Lonchura striata: one gene and its partner. The protein of the gene in region 2 interacts with the protein of the main gene of each other region in a pairwise test. Links are inferred from orthologs where the notes say so. Each region holds a gene or a part of one and is shown on either strand. Other genes may lie near its edges.

Evidence for each region.
Region 1: the proteins of MTFR1L (region 2) and ARMC1 interact in binary tests that used the Homo sapiens proteins (3 or more experiments, as listed by UniProt). The two-hybrid records come from large-scale screens. The link is inferred for Lonchura striata from reciprocal best matches to the Homo sapiens genes MTFR1L and ARMC1.

What each region holds. Positions count from the first base shown.
Region 1 is NC_134603.1:35,405,467-35,413,479, reverse strand, and holds the start of ARMC1 (armadillo repeat-containing protein 1), read right to left. Parts: upstream 3,092-8,013; 5' UTR 2,904-3,091; intron 440-2,903; 5' UTR 428-439; coding exon 236-427; intron 1-235.
Region 2 is NC_134628.1:449,004-456,483, forward strand, and holds the start of MTFR1L (mitochondrial fission regulator 1-like), read right to left. Parts: upstream 3,222-7,480; 5' UTR 3,053-3,221; coding exon 3,038-3,052; intron 1,528-3,037; coding exon 1,423-1,527; intron 770-1,422; coding exon 660-769; intron 186-659; coding exon 1-185. UniProt on the Homo sapiens protein: Mitochondrial protein required for adaptation of miochondrial dynamics to metabolic changes. Regulates mitochondrial morphology at steady state and mediates AMPK-dependent stress-induced mitochondrial fragmentation via the control of OPA1 levels.

The DNA of each region.
Region 1 (8,013 bases), on a different chromosome or scaffold from region 2:
ACTAGGGAAAAAATGCAAAGTAAATTAATATCTTTTCAAAAATCCCCTGCAATGTGTCATTTTTAAAATACATGTTTTTTGTTAAAAAGACATGCAATGAATATCAACACGATATAAAACCAGGCATTATTTTTCATGTTTAAACAGTTTCATTTGTAAACTGCTTGTTTAAACAACTTGTTTAGTGAAGTTTAAAAATGCCCTACTAACACAGAAATTTATCCAGAATACTTACTAGTAAAGCTGAATGAACAACCTGAGGGTTGGGATGGTCCAAAAACAGAATAAGACCTGGCAGGCATCCTTGATCCTGAACAATGGCCCGTCTGTTCAATGGATCAGCCGCTAGATCTCGGAGTTGGTTAACCACGGATAGTGCATCAGGCTCCTCACTCATAGCAGAATTCATCTTTTCTGCACCATTCATACAAAATACATGCTGGAAAAAAAAATATATTACTACTATCACAACATTTATCATCAATTAAAACAGAGACAAAAAAAAGGACAAAGGCAATTATTTGTTCAAAACAAAAAGGTATAAAAACTCAAGGACTAGAATTCATGGTAGGTGGATGGAATTGGTAAGGATGTGTGGGTCCTGGAATTTATAAACTGGAAATCTAAACTTCCTGTGCAGAGAACAGATATATTTGGATAATAAGATTTTTATTTGTTTCGTATGCATCATTTCAGACCAGTCAATCTTTATGGAGTCTTGTGTGTTGTTTTTTTCTCCTTACACCAGTGACAAATGTTTTCAATAAATCCAGTCTTCTCACAAGGCACCCTAGAAGTCTATAAACATCCTTCTGTGTAAAGGTGCAAAAAACAAAATCTTTTCAGAGTAGCTTTGGCAATCAAAAAATTTTACAGAAAAATGAACCACAAAAATCAACAAAATACTAACAGTGCATCAAGAACAGTGAACATTAAGCTCTATTCTATATATCAAATAACTAATGTAATGCCATACATTCAAAGGTAGAAAGGGCTTTAGAGGCTGTGTTTGAGTTGTTTTTTCTCCTTTTCACAAGTATCCCTCGATAAAAGAGAGCAAGCAGGTCACGCCTTGCTCCAGTCGAAGTCCAAGCCACCAGATCGATTTCAAAGGAGACGTGTTAGTGTGAGAGTATCAGATTGCAGAGCTGTTTAATAATAACTACTTAACAGGCAACAAAAGCATATGTTTGTTCAGAGAAAATGCTAAAATCTTGGAGTAAAAAAAACAGTTTCCTTGTGCCTCAGAAACTACTAAATGCTAACTGTAGTCCTGGTTGTTGCCAGTACCAACTCAGCCAAGTAACTTTAGGCACAAAAGTGGGAGTGAATACATATTGTTAATTTGTTAAATCACTTATTTACCCCCAAATAAAGAACAAACACAATTTTTAAGCAATCACATTCTTTTAGCATCATTTGCCAACATTAAATAGTTTTTCTTCACTGAAGGTTGGCCCCTGAAGAACATAAATTTACCACACTCATCAAAAAGAATGAACCATAAACATGTGTTTAGATTATGATAATTTCTGAAATTTTCAATGAGAAAAAATGCTGTTAACATCTAAGTCAATGCTTCTTACTTCAGGAGAGTGCTAGAGTGAAAAGTACAGGCCAATTATTAGCTTCCAGACTATTTTTATGGACTATCAGAAATCAAAAAGATATCAACTGGGAAATACAGTAGCACAACCAATACAAGTTTGTGTTTCCAAAGGAAAAACTCTAATATAAAAAGAAACAAAACAAAACCTCAGCAAACAAAACCACCAAACAAAACCAAACCAACTCTGTTGCATGTTATTAAATATTTTCCATAGTACAGGAAGGAACTTACTATTCAAGACTTAAAAATCAAGTCAGGAGTGAAGCTGATGCTAACCAAAGTCTCCGACTTCTTCCAAGCACCAGCTTATTCTTATAATTCTTTCCATCCTGATCACCTTTTGTCTTTTTACTTCTAATCCTCTGAAAAAACCCACCGACAAAACCAAGTTTTACCCTCTCCTATTCCATTAGGCTACACTCATCTGAAGGGAGCTCCAAGAAAGATGGAGAGGGACAAAGGCATATCACTATATGCCTTCACAAAGGCACACCGTGACAGGACAAGGGCTAAGGTCTTTAACCTGAAAAGGGAGCAGGTTTGGATTAGAGAGTGGAAGGGTGGTGATGCATTTGAACAAGTTACCCAGAAGCTGTGGATGTCCCATGCCTAGAAGTGTTCAAGGCCAACATGGATGGAGCTCTGAGCAACGTGGTCTGGTGGAAGGTGTTCCTGCTCAGGGTAGGGGGCTTAGAACTAGATGTTCTTCAAGGTCCCTTCCAACCCAAACCATTACATGATTCTGTTATCCTCAGACTCTTCTCCATCTCTCCTAAGCTTCAACTCCGGAGACAGCTCTGAAACCCTCACCCTTCTCCGCGACCTGCAACAATCAATTCCACTAAAACTCGCGCCCCTGCCCGCTTCCCGCAGTATTTTTTAATTAAAAAAAAAAAAATAGGTGGTCTTAAAAGTTATAAGATATCTATAATTCAGGAGCGTGGCAGAGCAGCGAGCTAGATGCCTGCCCCTGTCCCCTGTTCGTAGCTTTGAGATCAAAGCCTGACCCAGGCACCACAACCCTGTCTCCCCCTCCGCTGTGCGCTGTGGCCGGGGCGGCCCTGGAGGCACTTCCACAGCTCCGCTGCAGCCCTCCCCAGGCGGCCGAGGCCTCAGCCCGCCTGGGACCAGGCCCGGGACGCAGCTCCCCAGGCCGGCGGAGACTCAGCCCCGCAGTCACCGGCAGCAGGAGCTCCGGGATGTGTTTGGAAGGCAAGGGGGGTCTCGGTCGCACACGCCGCCCCCTCACGGTCCTTCCCGGCGCGGCCTGTTCCCCTCCCCGGCAGGGCCGTACCGTCGCAGAAGCCGTCCCCGGGCGGACTCGCAGCTCAGCTCCGCGCCCCCATGTCCCGCGGGGCGGGGCGGCCTGCGGAGAGCGGCGGGAGGAGCACGGGAAGAGGCTCGGGAAGAACCGCGGGATGAGCACCGGAACGAGAGCGTCCGCACCGCCCACCGGAGCCCGCTCTGACCCCGCACCGCTCAGCACCGCGCACCGCGATTGGCGCGTACCCAGCGCGGCCCTCCGCCAATCGTGGGGGTTCTTGTTCGCGGGAGGGGCGCGGTGCAGGCAGGGAGGTGTAGTCCGAGCGCTGTAGTACAGAAACACACCCCTCGCAAAGCTCCATTTGTTTTGGGTTTGTTTTTGTCCAAAGGCGGCTACCACCAGAACTTGAATTTACTGCCCAAATAAAGTGTAGCGTGCTCTGTAAAACAATCTAGAGTGAATCACACCTGATGTTGTATGGACAGGGAGTGTGAATCTCCTGGGTCAAAATCCGAAGCAGGTATTTCCCACCCCACGAGATACCGAAATTAGATTTGGTTTGGTATCAAACCAAGGCATCGTTAAGGCTGAAAAAACCTCTAACAGCACCAGGTTCAGCATCCACCGTGTCATGGGGACCAGGGCACTGAGTGCCACATCCAGCCTTTCACAAACACCTCCGGGGATGGTGACTCCACCGCCTCGCACGCCAGCCCAACTCAACGTTTAATCACCCGCTTTGTGGACAAAGTCCTCCTACTGTCCAACCTGAACCTGCCCCGGCACAGCTTGAAGCTGTGTCTTTTATCCCGTTCGCTAGTTGCTAGGGAGACGAGACCGACCCCACGAGGCTGAGGCTAGGGCTAGGGCTAAAGGCTGTGGCTGTGGGACCGGGACCGGCACCGCCCATCCCGGCTGCGCAGCCGGCGTCCCGCCTCTATTGGCGGGTCCCGCCGCTATTGGCGGGTCTCGCTCACGTGACCGCGCGGGGGGCGGCTCCCCCGCTCGCTGCCGGCTCGGCGCCTGCCGGGTAGCGCCTCACCCCCGCAGCGCGCGCCACGTCCCGCCTCCCGCGCCCGCCGCCGGGCCCGCGATTGGCCGGGGCGGCGCCGAGCCGGCCGCGGATTGGCCGAAGCGGCGCCGAGCCGGCCGCGGATTGGCTGCCGAGGCAGGGTCGCGAGCGGCCGCGCGAGCAGCGGGTGAGGGAGCGCGTCGGCCGCGGCGGCGGGTGAGGCGGGGGGGGTGGCGGCGGCGGCAGTGGCGGCGGCCGCGGTTCTCCCCTTCCCCTTGGGCAGTCCCTTCCTTCCTCCTGGGCAATCCCTTCCTTCCTGGGCAGCCCCTCTTGGCGCGGCCGATCCCGGGCGAGGGGCGGTGCGGGAGGGGAAGCTTGCCTGGAAGCACGTCCAGGCCGCTCGGTGCGGCCCCGCTCTCCCGGGCAGGGCAGGTGCCGGCAGGACCGTGGAAGCGCCTCGAGGTGCTGGGCCGAAGCTTTTGTTCGTGCAGGGGACCTACTGTGATGAGAAGGTGACAGGTCACGGGGAGTAATGTAAATACAAGCTCCTGTGGAGATAATGTGGGAAGTTTTTTAAGGACGCTTTGAAGGAGAGAGTTGGCGGATGAGAGGGAAAAAGAGCCGTAATGGTTACGGTGGTTTTATTTTATTTTCTGTAAAACTACGCTGCTTGCTTTGTGCACCTTTAGTGATACTGCTGCCCTTCTCAGGTTCTTCTGTAGTGGTCATAAATAAATAACTTGCTGGGTGAGTGTATTCATTTTGTTTAACGAGCTGTTGAAATTCCAAATATTGAGGGTGAATAGAGTTTGCATGCTGAAATCAATCGTAGTGCATTGATCTCTGCCTAACAGCATAAGCAGTACTGCATTAATATTAACATGCTGTCCTCAGAGTGCTCTGCAGCTCTTGTGAAGGCAAGACTTACAAATATTAATAGGAATTATGTCTTCTGATCCCCACTGGCTTTTACCTGGGTGATAAAAATGACTCAATTCAGTTATCTGCACATCAGGTCTAAAAGTTCTGATTGTTGCTGAATGCAAATAATGTGCTTCGTAGAGGTCACTAGCTACAATTTGATAACTGTGTGTAGGAACTCGGCGTTGTTACACAGAGAGATATCTGGGGGGAAAGTTGGACATTTTAAATGCTTTTTCAGACAAACACACCCTTTTGTTTGTGAGACTTAACCTGCAGTTGTCTCTCAAAGCTGTAGCAGAAAGACTCCGCACAGCAGCTGGTGGGGAGGTCTGTCTGTCCAGCAGGGAAGTGCAGGTGTTTGTCATATAATAATTCCTTGTGATCTATGGGTGTTGAAGGGTTTCACTTACCTCTCAGTGGTATCATAGTGCACTCTGCAGGTATAATCATTGCTGAGCAAAGGCTTTTGATTAAACTAGTGCAGAAACATGTTTTTTGGGGGTGTTTTGTTTTTTTTTTTTTTTTTGCTCTGTCCTTAGCTGTCAAGATAGGATAGCATGAATGAAATCTGATTAATAGGTTTTGCATGTTCAGGTAAATACAATGGGGCTATATTTTTAAGAAAGCTTTAGCAATTTCTGTTGCAAGTATGTATGATTTTCAATTCCTGCTTTAAATTTCATACCAGTACTAGCTTAGATTATCCCTGTAGTATTGACTCATATTTATCTCTCTCTTCATATCTTTCCAAACAGGTGGTTTTGTTAGTACTGGAGTGCTCCATTATTTGTAGCTTCCACACCAAAAAACAGTCTCCTGTTTCTGGCTGTATGACCTCTGACAAATGCATATTTACTTTGCTTGTAGCTGGTCTGTGTCAGTTTGGAACAGAATCTCTACCTTTATCCAAAGATTCTTCTGCCCACTTGGCTGTTGTGATAATGGGGTTTGTTTTGCTTTATCTTCCTTTGTTACTTTTTAAATTATGTTTCCTTGTGGATGTAATTTTATTAGGTTGGGTCATGTGGTAGTCTAAAAGACTGAGGAGACATGCTTGCCCTAGTTCTTGCTAAAATAAGGAGGAGCCTGGTCTTTATGCATTTCATTTTTTATGTGGCTGGTATTCCTTTGAATCTATGGTTGTTTGAAAATTTTATACTTCTTAAAGTTATGTCTTTTGAATTTAGAGACTATACCTTTCATTTTTCAGATTTCATATCTTTGTTTGTTCTTTGTTAAGGGTAATCTGCTCCATCAATCCCATTAAGTCATTCTCTTATGTTTGTAGGGATCCTAAATGAGTGAGAGAAACCTTCAGCAAAAAAAAAAAAAAAAAAATTAATATCCTATTTCCTTTAAAGAGCAAAAGCTCATGTTCTGAAGGGGACTTGGATAAATGCAACATTGCAAAAACTCATAGAGGAATTTGAATTTGAAAGCAGTTGCATCTGATTTTCTTTCAACCTTTCATGTGTAGGACTCACTAAAAAGCGTGACAAAGGGGTCTTGTTCATAATTACTGGATATTATACTTTATGTGTAGAAATTCCAGAGCTTTTGTATTTATTTAACGAACTTTTTGTAATCTATAGGTGGTATTATCTCTCAGCTTTGTAGACTTGATATTTGATATGAGAGTATTGAACAGAGCCTGCGAAAGTGTTTGGGAAAGGTAGGGACAAACAATCTCTAGGAGGCTTGGAAACGTAGCCCTCCTCATTTCTAAGCCAAGGAATTCCTCCATATTTCCATATCAGTAAGAAAGCTCTCCAGCATTGCTAATTTCTGGGTTTCATTGAAATGAACCTATGAAATTCCAACCCCTTCATGCTTTATGCAGTGAAATGTAATTCTTTGCTCTTTGGATGTCTTGGTAATCTTGTCTATCACTGCTGCTCATCCTTGTAATCGTTTTGCTGAGGCACAGGAGAAGGACCATTTTTAATGGCAGTATTACTGTCACTCGGGGCTCTTCATTGTAGTCATTGAGTTATGGAAATTTTTTGGGAATTAAACTATTTTTACTGTAGGTGGCACCAAGGAGAGGATAAATACCACAAAGATCGATATTTTAAGAAAGGTATTATACTGCTTACTAAAAGCAATTAACATGTAACTTCTGCTTCTGAAAATGACATGTATACAGAGCATGAGAAAAGAATTTGCTAATGATTTCATTCTTGCTGTCCAGCAGTTTCTTTTGGAATGAACCCTGTCTGTTCTTGGCACATAAACCAATTGTGAAATATTTGTGTTTTGTGAAGAAAGGTATAGTGCAACATAGTCTGAAAGAAATAAGTATGAAGCTTGCCTGGAAATAATTCTGTAAACTCATATAAAAATATGTTTTGAAGTATTTGTCTTTTAGATAACAGATCAGCTGGAGGTTGTTCAAATATGGTGGTTTTCCTTAGTGCCACAAACTAAAGAAGCTAATCCAGGAACTGGGTGTTACTCTGTGCTCTTTCAGGTTGATTTCAGTCACTTTCTTCTGCAAAAACAGACAGGTCATTGAAAGGGCAAGATATTGATGAGTCTCAAGTACTTTAAGTATTTAGGCTACAGAGGAAACAATGACTTACAAAGTGAACTATAAATATTTGTTTTACTGTAGTCATTTTGTTGAATGATTGCTCTTTCATGTTCAGTCATCGGAGTCTTGGAACCTGGAATTATTAAGGATCACCTTAATATTTTAGGGCAGGATAAGTGTTTTGGACTATTTCCAGTGCTTTGTGTCATCGTATTCCTTCTTTTATTCCTGGGAATTTGAATCCCATTGACCAAGTTTCAGAAATTAATTATCAATATTTCAAAAATTGCTTTGACAAGTTTTTGAACATTGCAAGGTGAAATTCACTAGATATTGTTGTGCTGGATGCTTATAGCTTGTCAGCATTGTCTGTAATCCATGCTATCACCTGTCCATTTAACCTGCCATTGTCAGGGGAAAGCACTGAATACATACTGACTATCCATATGGCACACTGCTTTCTTTCCTGTTGCATCATGGTTGTCTTCCTTGCCTCTTACTGCTAATAGATGTAGGCCTTTGTTTATGCCTGTAAGATGGAACCCACTTTGTAGCTTGCCTGTTTTAGCTTACTACTTCATATTTATACTATTGTCATCCTCATGTTATGCTACTTCTTTTCTACATCTGGTTTTGTGCTTTTAATTGGTTATCTTGTCAGTTTTTCTGTT
Region 2 (7,480 bases):
TCTGGCTCCGCAGGTGGCTCAGCTCATCCTGGAGCTCTGTGGTCCGGCTCAGGGCTGGCAAACCAGGCTTCTTCAGGGCCAGCAGCTTCTCCTCCTGCTTCCTCAGGTTGGGCACCGAGGCGTTCCTCTGGATCACCGTGAAGGGACTCGGCTTCCACTTGTGCTTCAGCGGGCGAGTGTCACTTCTGGGGACAAAAACCTGTCAGTCACCACACCCAAACCTCTCCATGGCAAAGCCTGACCCGCTCTGAGGGCAGCAGAGCCTCCAACAAAACAAGTGAAGCCTCTGTGTACCACCAGAGGTGCTCTCTGAAGCACAGGAAATTGTGGCTGCCCCTGGATCCCTGGAAGTGTCCAAGGCCAGGCTGGACAGGGCATTTCAGTCCTGGGAGAACTCAGCCCTTCCACTTCCTGACCAAAAAACACCTTGGAGCAGGGGGTTACTGTGCACAGACCAGGGAGTGCCATGGCATGGCACAGGCTGCTGGCACTTCCTACAGGAATTCCTCTCCAGGGACTTTGTCAATTTTTTCCCCTTCTCTGGGGAAAAATGTCTTTTAAGAGGCACTACATCAGACCCAGAGGGGACTGGGAGCTGTGGTCATCTGAGCAGGGTCTGGCCTGAGTTCTGTGGCAGAAAGCAGCAGATGAAAACCAACCTGACCCTGGCGTAGGTCTCCTCATCATCCGCTGCGATCCACACGATGTCAGCCAAGGTGGGCACGGGGGGCACATCACCCAGATACAGATCTGAGACACTTGGCAGCACCTGGCAGGAAGGAAATGCTGCTGAGGAGATGCTGTTTGTTCTCCTGGAGCTGCCCCAGATGTGCTGTCAGAGGCCCTGTGCCGTGAGCAGCTGTGTCTGCCACATGCACAACAGCAATTCCAGCAGGTTTCCTTTAGTTTGCACCATTTTTTTATTTTTTGGAGCCGGGACATAAATCCTTCGGGTCTGGGCACTTCCCTGGGCCAGCTCCTGCTCCTTGCTGCTGTGTGTGCGAGGCAGGAGGGGACACCTGCCCCAGGCCAGGCGCTGCCAAGGCCACGTGCCACCCTCTGCTGCTCCAAGTGCCAGCCCTGCGCTCCAGGGGTGACATCGGGGACTCCACAATCCTGGAACAGGCCCAGAGGGCCCCTTGGAGGTCACACAGCAAAACCCTGCCTCAGCAGCTCCACCCTTCCCTCTCCTCCAGCTCAGACACTGCCTGAGCAGGGATTTCCCCAGGCTGCCAGTGATCACTTTACAAGAACAGAATTAAAGAAGAAATAAATAATAATAAATAAATACATTTATTAACTGTACTGGTGCAGGTTTTGTGTCTACAACCCTGCAGATGTGTGGGGCCAACACAGCAGCTGATGGCAGTGCCTTGTCCTGCCCCAGCTCCCCCAGCCACCCCCTGCCCAGGGGTCTCTCACCTCGAAGGTGGCCCTGGGACAGGGCTTCAGGGGCAGGTTGGAGCCGATCATCCTGACCACGCTGCGAGCCGAGCCATGGGGCTTGTTCTGCCAGATGGGGATGGTCTGCAAGGACCCACAGCACACGTTAATAGCTCCACTCATTAATCTGGAAATTCTCCTCAACTGCCAAGAGTCTGATGTCTGACTCTTTATCTCTTCACTTGTAATCTGTGATAACTGAGGTCCCCGTTTCACAAAACTGTTCAGCTGGGCACAGGTGACAGCCAGACAGGGGCATTTTGGACATGGGTGCAGTGTCTTCAGGACTGCAAACTGGAAGCACTCAGTAACAGGCACTCTCAACAGGCATTTTAACAAAGGAAATTTGGCATAAGGAGGAAAACAGCACCACACCAAGGGCCCAGGAGGAAAATGACATCAAAAGAGAGTGTCATTCACGGGACACTCCTGCTTTCACACCACCTTTAGCAGAAGCACTGTTAAATACCCCAGGGCAGCTGTGAGTCTCCTTCCCTGCACCTGCTGCTGAGGAACCTGCTCCAGGAGACCCTGCCTGAGCAGGGCTGGACCAGGTGACCTCCAGAGGTCCCTTCCCACCTGAGCTGGGATGAGCTGAACATTTTTGGGTGACAGGTGACAGGTCTATCCAGTGCCTGTCCCATGGGGAGCAGCCCTGGGGAGTGCTCTGAGAAACAGCAGCTGCTTTAGAGCTCCCAGGACACTTCTGAGCTGGACCCAAAAGGTGAAGTGCTCTGCCCGTGACAGGAACAGCACAAGGCTCTGCATAGAGAACACCACACTGACAAAGCTCAGCCCACAGCACACCTGATAATTGATTTATTGCTGCAGCTCGTTCTGTGCTGTCCCTGAGCGCTGCTCCATGCTGACACTCCTGAAATTCCTGAGGAGCCCTTCAGACCCAACCTCTGCGATGGGCAAGGGGAGGACAGATCTTGGCTGGGGCAGTGCCTGGGAGCTGCTGGTGGGGAAAGGTGCTGGGGGAAGGTTCTGGGGCGGCCCCCGGGGCTGGGACAGGTCACCAGGACAGGTACCTGGGGCTGGGACAGGTACCCAGGACAGGTCCCCGGGACCGGGACAGGTCCCCAGGGCTGGGACACATACCCGGGACTGGGACAGGTACCTGGGGCTGGGACAGGTACCGGGGGCTGGGACAGGTACCGGGGACAGGGGCCCAGGACAGGTACCTGGGGCTGGGACAGGTCACCAGGACAGGTCCCCGGGGCTGGGACAGGTCCCCAGGGCTGGGACACGTACCCGGGACTGGGACAGGTCACCGGGACAGGGACCCGGGACAGGTCCCCAGGGCTGGGACAAATACCCGGGGCTGGGACAGGTACCTGGGGCTGGGACAGGTACCTGGGGCTGGGACAGGTACCTGGAGCTGGGACAGGTACCTGGGGCTGGGACAGGTACCTGGAGCTGGGACAGGTCACCGGGGCAGGTCCCCGGGGCTGGGACACATACCCGGGACAGGGACCAGGCCAGGTACCCGGGGCTGGCACAGGTGCCCGGGGCCGCTCTAGGAGCAGGTGCCGGGGCAGTGTCCGGGTGTCCGGGGCAGTGTCCCGGTGTCCCGGCCCGTGTCACTTACGGCCTCCGCGTCCATCTCCGCTGGCTCAGCGCCGGCCGCTCATCGCACCCGCTCCGCTCGCTCACTGCAGCACACAAGGAGCGCTGCGGCCCGGCCCGGCCCAGAACAGCACGGCACGGCACGGCACAGCCCCGGTACCTGCGGGCCGGCGGCGCCGCTCCCAGCGCCGGCCGCGGCCGCTCCGCCGCCACCGCCCGGAACAGAACCGGGGCCCGCCCCGCGCCTTCCGGGGCCGCGGCGCCTGCGCCGGGCCGGGACAGCCCGGGACAGCCCCGGGACAGGGAGAGCCCGGGGATAAGGGGAGAGCCCGGGGACAGGGGACAGCCCCGGGACAGCCCGGGGACAGGGACAGCCCGGGGACAGAGAACAGTCCCGGGGATAAGGGGAGAGCCCGGGGACAGGGAGAGCCCGGGGACAGGGAGAGCCCGGCGACAGGGACAGCCCGGGGACAGGGGACAGTCCCGGGGATAAGGGGAGAGCCCGGGGACAGGGAGAGCCCGGGAACAGGGAGAGCCCGGGGACAGCCCGGGGAAAGGGACAGCCCGGGGAAAGGGGAGAGTCCGGGGACAGGGAGAGCCCGGCGACAGGGACAGCCTGGGGACAGGGGACAGCCCGGGGACAGGGGACAGTCCCGGGAGAGCCCGGGGAAAGGGAGAGCCCGGGGACAGGGGACAGCCCGGGGACAGGGGACAGTCCCGGGAGAGCCCGGGGAAAGGGAGAGCCCGGGGACAGGGATAGCCTGGGGACAGGGAGAGCCCGGCGACAGGGACAGCCTGGGGACAGGGGACAGTCCCGGGAGAGCCCGGGGACAGCCCGGGGAAAGGGACAGCCCAGGGATAAGGGGAGAGCCCAGGGAAAGGGGAGAGCCCGGGGACAGGGATAGCCCGGGGACAGGGGACAGCCCGGGGACAGGGGACAGCCCGGGGACAGGGAGAGCCCGGGGACAGGGAGAGCCCGGGGACAGGGGACAGCCCGGGGACAGGGGACAGCCCGGGGACAGGGAGAGCCCGGGGACAGGGAGAGCCCGGGGACAGGGGACAGCCCCGGGAGAGCCCGGGGACGGGGACAGCACGGGGACAGGGACAGCCCGGGGATAAGGGGACAGCCCGGGGATAAGGGGACAGCCCGGGGAAAGGGACAGCCCGGGGACAGGGGACAGCCCCGGGAGAGCCCGGGGACAGCCCGGGGACGGGGACAGTACGGGGACAGGGATAGCCCGGGGACAAGGGACAGCCCGGGGAAAGGGACAACCCGGGGACAGGAATAGCCCGGGGACAGGAATAGCCCGGGGACAGGGGACAGCCCCGGGAGAGCCCGGGGACAGGGACAGCCCGGGGATAAGGGGACAGTGGAGACACCCTGGCACAGGGGGGACATCCAGGGACACCCCCGTGCAAAGAGAATATTGGGGATACCCCGGTGTAAAGAAGACACTGGGGCCACCCCGGTGTAAAGGTACACTGTAAAGGGACACCCCGGAGTAAAGAAGGACATTGAGGCCACCCCGGTGCGGGGCAGCGCGCCCGGCTCACCCCTCGCCCACCCGCAGCCCCGGCGGAGGAAGGAGAGCGGAGGCCGGGCTGAGGCTGCACGGATGTTTTTACCGGGACTGCTCCGCCGCCCCCACGGATGTTTTTACCGGGGCCGCTCCGCCGCCCCTCCCGGCCGACATCGGCCCGGGCCCGCCGCGCTTTCGGGCCGGGGCGTCACCAGGCGCGGCAGGGGCGGCGGCGGGACCCGCCACCGAGGAACGGAGCGAACGGGCGGGCACAGCGCTGGCACCGACCCGCGGACACCCGGGCGGCAGCCGCGGAGCAGCCGGGCACCCTGACAGCGAGAGGGATACGGTGTCCCCTCGGGATCCCCCAGGCTGCTCGGCTTGGGGGTGGCTTTGGGGCTCCCTCGGCTTGGGGTGGCTTTGGGGCTCCCTCTGCCACTCTCCAGGCTCGTGGGAATAAACAGGGGATCTGCGGGATTGCAAACACTGCAGCCCTGCAGGGATGGAGGTGCCCGAAGGGGTGACAGAACTCTGCAGTGCTGCCCCGAGGCACAGCCAGACCCAGCTTGTCCCACTGGGCTGTGGGAAAGTGCAGAGCTGATGCATAGTTACAAAGCCAACACTGAGAAACATCCCGGGACCATTAATTAATCTCACTAGAGCAATTAGTGAAGTGACAGCCCAGAGGTGCAGCTAAGCTCAGTCCCCAGGCCATGGACAGGAAAGCTGGGGCATGGTGGGGACAGGGTAACTGCCACCCCCAGGCTCCTCCCAGCACCTGGAGCTCAGCAATGAAAATACCTCGTCAGAAGGGAGGGAAAAAAAAAAAAAAAAGCTTTTCCCTAAACTTGATTTGGTCCAACAAAATTGTGCTTCAGAGAGCAGAAAAAGCATCACCAGCCAGGGCTGGCTGCAGGCAGCTACTGAGGATGCTTTGTCCCCTCACATGTCTGTAGGAATATGCCTTAAAACCCGTTCCACTGAACCTTTCCTTCTCCAAATTACAAATTATGCTCATTCTGTATCCAGGCATTGGCACAGAGTGGGAGCAACTGCTCAGGGTGGCTTCAGGTAAGGGAAAATGGCTTAATGTCTGAACAATCTCTTTGGAAAAAATTCCTGAAAATAACTGTTTGTACTTCTGGCTTTTAGAACTGCCCAGTCCTCACCCAGGTGAGGCTCTCAGGGGAGTTCCCAGAGGGAACTTCATGGTTCCTCACCCAGCACAACCTGGAAGCTCAAAGCAAACAGGGACAGAGCAGGAGCTCCAAGGGGGCACTGGGAGAAGCTCCCAGAGCGGCTGGGGAGGGAGCCCTGGAGGGATGGATGGGTGGGACACTGCTCACTGCTGTGTCCTCCAGCCTCCTGGGGGCTCAAACTCATCCTCACCTCACCCCTCTGATGCCCACTGCTGGTCCCCGTGCCACCCTCGGGGCACAGACCCTGCCCGAGTGAGGCCACCAGGTGACACAGGGCGCTGGGGGCTGCTCAGGGCTGTCACACGCGGCTGCCACCGTCCTGTCACACAGATTGTCACTGTCAGGCAGTGTCCAGAGCTGCCCCAGGACAGCAGGCTGTCCTCACCACGAGTGTTCGGTCACAGTGGCAGTGCTGCTCCCTGCACTCAGCAAGTCCTGGAGATCAGCAGGCCCGTGGTTACACCAGTCCCACCAGGCTGAAAGGAGCTGCAAAGAAATGAGGCTGGGTGGCACAGCCAGGCAGGTGCACTGGGAATGGGTTCAAGTACTTGCACTGCTGTAGAAATGTGCCTGAACTGAGAAGGGCAGGCTGTGTAAACTGGAGCTCAGGCTCAAACCAAGGTCCTGGCCTGGGACTGCCTGCAGCTCAACACCAATGTCTGGCACGGAGATGAGGAGGCTTTGCTGTAACCAAAATAGATCTCTGAAGTCTTTGGCCATCTCAGTGGGGTGTTCAGGTGCCTGTTTTTAGGGCTGCAGGTATGGCTTTGCTCTGTGCAGCCCTTCCTTCAGGAACTGGAGGTAAGTTGCAGTTGAAGGGTCTTCAAAATTGGTTGAGAAACTAAAGATGCTGCTTTCAGCATCTTCAGGCTTCATAGAAGTAATGTCCAGGAAATAGTTGGCATTGATGTGGTGAATCTGGCAAAGAGAACAGATGAGAGGAGACTTCTAAGGGTCAGAACAATTCCCCATCCACTGCCTTGGCCTGCAGCCAGGACAGAGCTGTAACAGCTCCTACAGAATATCTAATTCTTTCCAAGTGCTAATTCAGGAACCAGAATTCGGGTCTGACTTTCACAGTCACAGAAGAATGTGTGATCTTCCCCCAAGGGTGCTGACCCTTTGCTTAGGTTAAGAAGAAGATGAAGGTGATTTGGGAAAAATCATGGAGGCTCAGCTCATGTGTGTGAGCAGGAGCTGGGGAGATGGAGCCTGGGGTGCACCTGAGCTTCCAACACTTCCTGCTGCCCCAGAGATGGCAAAGGGGGACCCTGACCCACTGTCACAGCCCACAGCCTCATGGGGACAGCAAGGGGACCCTGCAGCTGTGACCAGCAGTGTCTGGGCAGGACTAGCCCAGCCCAGCAGCTGACCCAGCCAGCACCAAGCTGCCATGTGTTAGCAACTGCTCCCCAAATCCAGAGGGAAGGGCAGTGGGAGCTGCTGGGAGCACAGCAGAGCCAGAGCTGGTTAACAGCTGATCTGCTGTGACCCATTTGGGGAGATAAATGTGCTGGTAGGTGCTGATCAGGACATTTTCTTCAAAGGATGAGCACAAAGGGCCATGGGTGCAGGAAACAAAGCTACAGTGGCTTCCCAAACCTCAGGGACAGTGAGGAGTCACAGTTGGTTCAAGTCTGTTCTGCCCCTGCCCAGAGCTGCTGCTCTTCTGTCTCTGAACTAAAACACATTTGTTCCAGATTTCCAGGTGGAGGGACAAAGGCTCAAGGGCAGTCCCAGGTCTGG